Linked DNA regions of Drosophila melanogaster. The protein of the gene in region 1 interacts with the protein of each later gene in a pairwise test. Each region holds a gene or a part of one and is shown on either strand. Other genes may lie near its edges. The genes, in order: cos and smo.

Region 1 (3,922 bases):
AGGCATTACCCAAATTGGAGCGCAGAATTTCGGGGTAGGTGTTGTCCTGCATCTCGTTTTTAAACGCCTTTTCCGTGTACAGACGGAAACACTTGCCAGGACGCGTACGTCCAGCACGACCGGATCTCTGCTGCGCAGACGCTTTTGAAATGGGTGAGACGAGCAGACTCTCCACTCGAATGCGAGGATTGTACACCTTTTGCTTGGCGAAGCCTGGATCAATCACGAACACCACTCCGTCAATGGTCAGCGAGGTTTCGGCAATGTTGGTGGACACCACGACCTTGCGTCCAATTGCGCCATTAGCATTTGGCGGCGGGGCCGGTTCGAAGATGCGCTGCTGCAAATTGGGCGGCAGCGTCGAGTACAGGGGAATGCATTTCAGCTCTCCAATTTCTGAGCCCAAATTGTCGATCTCGCGCTTGATGCGCTTGCAAGCCTCCTCAATCTCCTCCTGGCCCGTGAGGAACATTAGGATATCACCTAGAGTAGCAAAATCAAGTTGGGGTTTAGTTTACAATGGAAAAAGCGAATGCGTCTTTTCCGGCATTGAATAGGATCATATTCAAAAGTCGTAAACACTTGAATGATTACAATACCATTAAAGCAAATACGAAGCATTTGCCGCCCTTCGGCACTCGGAAAGTTTATATTTTGCCTGGCACTTTTACATTGTAAACATATGATCGATAAATGCTTCTTAGAACAATGAACTAGCAAGCTATTAAATGAACTCCAAGCTAAACTCATTTACCAACTTACCCTCAATTTCCTCGCACATGTGTATCTGGATTACCGTGCGAATAGCAGCCTCTAGGTAATCTCTTTCTGGTTCGGGCGTGTAGAAGATCTCCACGGGATGTGTGCGACCGGGCACTTTCATGAGCGGTGCGTTGTCGAAATACTGCTGGAACTTGCCGGCGTCCAGTGTGGCGGACATGACCACCAGCTTAAGGTCGCTGCGCTGACGAATGACCTCCTTGAGCACGCCCATTAGAATGTCAGTGGCCAAGGTCCGCTCGTGAGCCTCGTCAAGCAGAATGACCTGGTACTGGTCCAGCATGGGATCAGACATGGCCTCGCGCAACAACATACCATCGGTCATGTACTTGAGCAGCGTCTTGGCCGTGGAGCAGTCCTCGAAACGGATGGAGTAGCCGACCTCTTCGCCCAGTTTTACGTCCATCTCCTCCGAAACGCGCTGGGCCACGGACATGGCGGCAACTCGACGTGGCTGTGTGCAGGAGACTCCCTTGCGCCCCTTGGATACTGCGAAGTCCACGCACCACTGCGGGATCTGGGTCGTCTTGCCGGAGCCAGTCTCGCCCACCAGCACAATACACTGGTGCAGGCTGAGCAGCCGCATAAAGTCCGCCTGGTACTCGAACACGGGCAGCGCAATGCGCTTCTTGTAGAGATTCTGGTACCGTTGTGAGTACGGCGTGTTGGTCAGCGGGTTCATCGTGGGCGGTTGCTTGTTGGGCACGAATCCGCCCAGGATTTGAGCCACTGTGCCGGCAGCGGCTGCCGCCGACGAGGAGGACGCCTCCGGGTCCCTGGTGAGAAAGGAGCGTTACATTACTGCCGTATGTTGGCCTCGGGTCACTTACTTCTTCGCCTTGCTGCCGTAGGTCTCCCCCACTTCGATTCGACGCTTGGACATGCTAATTTATGGTGATTACTGCACTTAATTCTCAAAACGAAGCGTTTAGCACAAAAAAAAACACGCGCTCAGTGAGACCTTTAGCATATACCGACCATGCTGATCGCAACTTTTAAAATACCAAAGTTTACTGTCTGTGTATACTATATAAGCCCATGGTTAGCGAAGATCACAACCAACAGCACGGCAGCAATTTGGCATTTAAAAAAAAACAGCAGTTCAAGCTTAAGTCTTTTGACGAGAATCTATCTATAGAATTCGGTTTTACTCACCAGTTTGAAGAATAGTTGTGAGCTCACAGTCTTAAAATTGACATTTGACAGCAATTTGATTGGAAACTGATTTTGATTTTTACAGTAACAAACTGTTACATGGATTCGGTATTTTCGGCTTGGGTTGGCGCTTTAGCGTCGGCCACACTATCACATTGTATCGATTCGGAGGGAGTTGAATTTTTGCACGTATTTGAAAGCGCAAAGATGCGAAACAAAGAGCAGGATATCGAATGAAAGAGCTCCTGCGAGACCAGGACTAGTTGCCTAACCACCATGGAAATACCCATTCAGGTAGCGGTGCGCATCTTCCCGCATAGAGAGCTCAAGGACTTGTTGAGGAGCTTCGGCCCCACAGAGCCCAAAAAGGATGCGCAGGCGGTGGATGAGGGGGCGGACTCCAAGGACTCCGAGGCTCAAGTTCCGGCGGCTGAGAAGGACAATCCGTCAATTTCAGAGACGGACCCAAACGGGAATGCTGAGCAGGACAGTGCGGCCGATTCGAAGACAATTCCAGATGCCAATGGCAACGACAGTGGTCAGAAGGATTACCCAGACTCCGCATATTGCGTTCAGGCTATTCCCATCAGCGCTTCGGCCCTGGGATTGCCCAGTGCCCTGCCAGGCGGAGATCCCATGGACAGCATTGCAGCTGGACTGATACAAGTCGGTCCCCACACGGTTCCGGTCACCCACGCCCTGCCCAGCAGCAGCTCCCAGGAGCAAGTGTACCACCAGACGGTCTTTCCGCTCATCACCCTGTTCCTGGAAGGTTTCGACGCATCTGTAGTCACCTATGGCCAGAGGGGCCAGGGCAAAAGCTACACACTCTACGGAAACGTCCAGGACCCTACTCTGACGGATTCCACCGAAGGAGTCGTCCAACTTTGTGTCCGTGACATTTTCTCACACATATCGTTGCACCCAGGTGAGTTTACTAAAAGGATCTTATAAGCATAGTTATCCATTTCCATTTTCACTTTAAGAACGCACCTATGCCATCAACGTGGGATTCGTGGAAATTTGCGGAGGTGATGTCTGCGACTTGTTGGGCATGGGAAACATACACTGCACCAACGTAGATGCCGTCTTCCACTGGTTGCAGGTGGGTCTGTCGGCCCGCCAATCGTTGCCGGCGCACACCCTGTTCACGCTTACCCTGGAGCAGCAGTGGGTGTCCAAGGAGGGGCTGTTGCAGCACCGCTTGTCCACGGCCAGTTTCTCGGATCTCTGCGGCACAGAGAGATGTGGAGACCAGCCACCGGGACGTCCTCTCGATGCTGGCCTGTGTATGCTGGAGCAGGTGATCAGTACTCTCACAGATCCAGGCCTCATGTACGGGGTTAATGGCAACATTCCGTACGGTCAGACCACGCTCACCACTCTCCTGAAGGACTCGTTCGGCGGACGGGCTCAGACGCTCGTGATCCTGTGCGTGTCACCGCTGGAAGAGCACTTGCCCGAAACTCTTGGCAACCTGCAGTTCGCCTTTAAGGTGCAGTGCGTACGTAATTTTGTAATTATGAACACCTACTCCGACGACAACACGATGATCGTTCAGCCGGCTGAGCCTGTTCCCGAATCCAATTCCTCTGCTGGACCCTTGTCGCAGGCGGGACCAGGGGACAACTTTGGCCTACAATTCGCAGCAAGCCAATGGTCCAAACTAGTTACCAACGCCGAGGGGCTATTTTCCAAGTAAGTGTACACATTATTTCCGATGTGGGCCTTTTGACGACAAAAGAAATTTATAGGCTGATAGACTCCAAGCTAATTACTGAAGTGGAGAAGGAGCAGATCGAGGAGTGGCTCTTCCTCAAGCAGGAGTGCGAGGAGTGTCTCAGCTCAACAGAGGCTATGCGTCAGCAAAAACAGTTGGTTCCCATTCTGGAGGCCGAGGAGCCCGAGGACGTGAATTCTGAAGCAGCCAATTCGGAGTCGCCAAACTCCGACAACGAAAACGACACAGACAATGAGTCGCATCGGC
Region 2 (3,922 bases), on another chromosome or scaffold:
CATTCCAGCGGTGAGAAAATAATAGACCAGCACAAAGATCACTATGCAAGAAAGATTTTCACCGGCTGTAGGCTCTGAGTGGCGAAGTGTTCCATCCTTACGACATACTATGTCCTCTCGCGAGCCAGAAGTAAACTGAAGCAACCAGCTGCATAGTAAATACGTGGTTGATTAAGAATACAAATGCAAAATAGTGCTCAAAACTTACCCGACGCAAGCAATTAGAAAGCAAAGATTTATGTAGAACACAATTACTGCCGGATACTTGTTGGCATTCTTCCAGTCGATGAAGAAGGTGGACACCACGAAAAGGTTAGACAGAAGACATATGCTGCCAGCCCATCCGATCAGTTTGTGGATCTGCCGATGCTCATCATCGGTATAGAGTGGATCCTTGCATCGCACGCCGCAGCCCTCGATGCCAGGATAATAGCTGGCTGACGTATCTGTCGGAACCAAAGGACTTAAACACTGGCCAGTTCCGTTGAATTTCATTCCTCGTGCTCCGTTTGTGCATTTCGTCGGAAAGAGTGTTTCGTTGCAGCGAAGGAATTTTGGGAAAAACGTCGTGTTGTACAAAATGCGACAGGGTTCCATGGTAATTCGGCACATCTCGTAAGATGGCAGGTAGACCATGTCCTCGCCGTTGATTTTTTCACACTTCGGCTTAAAGACGGCGCACAAAAAGGGCTATAAACATGTAAAAATGGGTGTGTTGAGCTAATCCGGAATATTGAAGAAATGGATTTGAAATACTATAATATCTACAGAAAACCTTGAGCCACAACTGAATATGTATATATATCTGAATCTTCCCAAGATAAAGCAATTCACATATTACTTTCACTGCTTGAACACAAAGCGTAATTAAGTAATCACAGTTGTGCGCTTAACTTGTTTCTAATGCACCTCCTTATCAGAAAATAATGCGACAATCTGTATTTTCATACAGACTCGGCCCCACCTTTTGAAATCATTAGGTACATTAGATGTTATTAAGATTCCTCACCTGTATAGCTGCCCAACATTTGGGCACGTGCTTCAGGGCATAGTAGTCGTTCAGCTTATCGTTCAGCTCCTTTTCGGTGTGGAAGTCGGTGAGATCTAGGCTGCTCAGCTCATAGGGCAATTTTGAGCCGAAACAGGTGTTGGTTGCGTTCGAGGTGGGGTAGCAACGGGCACGTCGGACACACTGGATGTGCCTGCTGTCTAGGCCATCAAACCAGGGTTTGTCGTCCCTGCCCTTCTTGGCGTACAGTCGGTAATTGAGAGTCCCATTGATGGGCTCCAGTTCCACATCCGACTGCTGCGCACTTGCGGGCGTTGTGCTGCCGAACTTGGCCGAACTGGCCGATGCGTCTGCGACCACCCACAGGCATAAGATCGCAACCTCCAGGAACATCCTGCGGTTTGTAAATAACCAAGTTATTTTAATTGCCCACACCATTTGCCAGAGGCGAGTCACTCACATAATGTTTGGCATGCGCGGAAAGTTTAAGTACTGCATCCGCTTATAAAAATCATTAAATAGCTGCCTTGTGTGAATTTTAATGGGCTGAATGCCCGTTTCTTGCTCAGCGGTTCGTCAGTGCATCGTGAAGGCGCTTTCGTTGGACTCGGGATATCCTGGTTTAATTGTTCCCTTTGAAGGATTGCAGTGTTTTTAAAAAAGAGAAAAAAAAAACAAGAACCAAGGAGGAAAACAAAAATAAACGCGACTCAACGTGAAGCTGAAGCAACAAATGTGCGACCATTCAGGGCCAGTTTAAATATACCCATGTTATCGGTCAGCGAGATTTGCATGTTATCGGTCGGCATCGGTTATTATCGGTCATAGCTGCAACAAGTCGAATGATATGCAAACAAATCGGATTTATTTTGTTCGATCGTAACATAAGATAACATCAACATAAAATAAGAAATATGATCATATGTAGAAATGCATCAGCAAACGAAAAAGGTGTTCCCCGCAACATTTTGACTATATGGCAATGCTGGCCGCTGGCTTATTTATTTATGCCATGCGCTCGACGGTCACACTGGGTGCGGAGTATCGATAACACCGCGATAGTAGCGCACCAAGCATCGATGTAGTTTTTACATCCCTATTCTGCAATATTATTTCACGGCACGGTCCAAAAACACGGATAACAGGGCTTGGTTGGAGTCGCGCAAACGCAAATAGAAGCCATGGACGTTGCCCCCGCACCGCCCGCCAGTTCCGGCGGCGATCATAGCACCCAGCAGGCGCCGATCAGTCCGAATCAAAATGCAAACCAAGCGCCGGTCGCACTCGCAAAGGCAACAACAATCGAAAATGGTGTACAAACAGGAGGAGCGAAAAAGCCAGAGAGCTGCGGTGAGAAAGCCCCCGGTTAGCAAACTTGCTCGAAGCTAGTCTAGTTTCCTGGTTAACGTTTACCTTTTAGCCGTAGAGCCGACACATTCCACTGATGCTAGCCAGAAGGACGACGACGAGGGCAAGCCGAAGACCGAGCTGGCTGACAAAGTATTGATTACCATATGCAGCGCCGATCGCAAGATCAAGAAGACCTTCATGTCGTTGCCCACTCGAAAGGATGTAATCGACAAAGGTAAGGAACGTCCGACGAATTGGGTATCTATTCATCCAGTATTCCGAATGAACGTTGCCCAGTTGGAAGTTATTAACCAGTAGACAGTCTTTAATAAGAATCTATTGGGTTTAAGCTTAGAGCATTTCTGCATTTAAAAATATAAATTTGATCAATGGGTGATATATTTATCTAGGATAGAAATTAAATAATTGTACATATTTTATTTAATTTATATCAATAATATATTTGTATTCGGTAGCTCACAAATACGGCCTGTGCGGCAACACAATTGTCCTGGAGAGCAACGGCTGCGAGATCTGCGAGGACGACGTGCTCTTGTTCGCTGCCAAGGAGAAGATTCTGTTGATGCTCCTCGCCGAGTCGGAGGAGTATGTGGTGCTTCCTCCGCCATCGCCCCTCAACCGATCCGAACGCGCCGGCAGCTCGGTGGATCCCAGCTTCTATGCCAACAACAGTATTGTGTCGAACCCGAACGATTCGACGGTCTCTAATGACGAAACCATGTCACTGTCCAGCGTAACGCCATCAAGTGCAAAGAGTTCTGCTCTATTCAAGGAGTTCTCGATACCCTGGAGCAAGGTGCCTGGGGACATAATGAAACTACTAAAGGGAAAGGGGAGTTTGGGCAAGCGGTTGAATACACTTGCGAATGTTTTGGTGGAGGCTCTCCGTGAAATATCCGCCCACATTCCCATACGGATTTTCCGGCAGGTCGCCCAACAGGCGGCTGAAAAGTACCCCGACTCCTTACTCGAAAAAGACCGCGAGGGACAGTTTATAGCCACCACTCCGCAATCGCTCATATCCAAGATGATCAACCGTAACAATGCCCTAAACAAACCCCAGAAACGCGGCAGCTCGGGAACCTTTGAGATCCACATCCCTAATAAAAAACGAAAATTCGGAGGTGGTGCTTCCAATGGTGATGCAAAATCGCTGGCTCTTAACAGGGATCTGGAGCACAAAAAGGAGTTACTAATCTCCAGCTACCGAGGCAGTTCCCCACTGGAACAGTCCGTCATAATCGAATATATGAAAGAGTGCTTTCCGTTGCAGCGCTCCTTTTTTAATAACAGCGAAAAGATCCCAGATATAACGGCCATTAAGGACAATTGGCCATATATTTTTGACAAGGCTGTGCTGTACCAGCACTTTGAGCTGCTTATGTCCATCGATCCCCGGGCTCTAGAGAAGCGCTTGGCTACCGAAAAGGATCGCTTTTTCAGGTTCTTTAAGAGTTCAAAGAACAAGAAGATCAGCTCTTTGGACGAGACCAACGCTAATTTCCTGCGTGGCATAGCGTACTATTTTAATGAGGATCCCGA

Evidence for each region.
Region 2: the proteins of cos (region 1) and smo interact in binary tests that used the Drosophila melanogaster proteins (3 or more experiments, as listed by UniProt).

Annotation. Positions count from the first base shown.
Region 1 is NT_033778.4:7,385,269-7,389,190, reverse strand, and holds the start of cos (costa), read left to right. Parts: upstream 1-2,075; 5' UTR 2,076-2,211; coding exon 2,212-2,863; intron 2,864-2,921; coding exon 2,922-3,633; intron 3,634-3,689; coding exon 3,690-3,922. Other genes in the region: Dhx15 (DEAH-box helicase 15), read right to left, coding at 10-483, 763-1,556, 1,611-1,663. UniProt on the Drosophila melanogaster protein: Regulates cubitus interruptus (ci) processing by recruiting multiple kinases to promote its efficient phosphorylation.
Region 2 is NT_033779.5:275,411-279,332, reverse strand, and holds the start of smo (smoothened), read right to left. Parts: upstream 1,752-3,922; 5' UTR 1,508-1,751; coding exon 1,470-1,507; exon of another isoform or gene 1,404-1,469; coding exon 1,010-1,403; intron 691-1,009; coding exon 209-690; intron 149-208; coding exon 1-148. Other genes in the region: CG17078 (uncharacterized protein), read left to right, coding at 2,191-2,374, 2,430-2,594, 2,836-3,922. UniProt on the Drosophila melanogaster protein: Segment polarity protein required for correct patterning of every segment. G protein-coupled receptor which associates with the patched protein (ptc) to transduce the hedgehog (hh) signal through the activation of an inhibitory G-protein.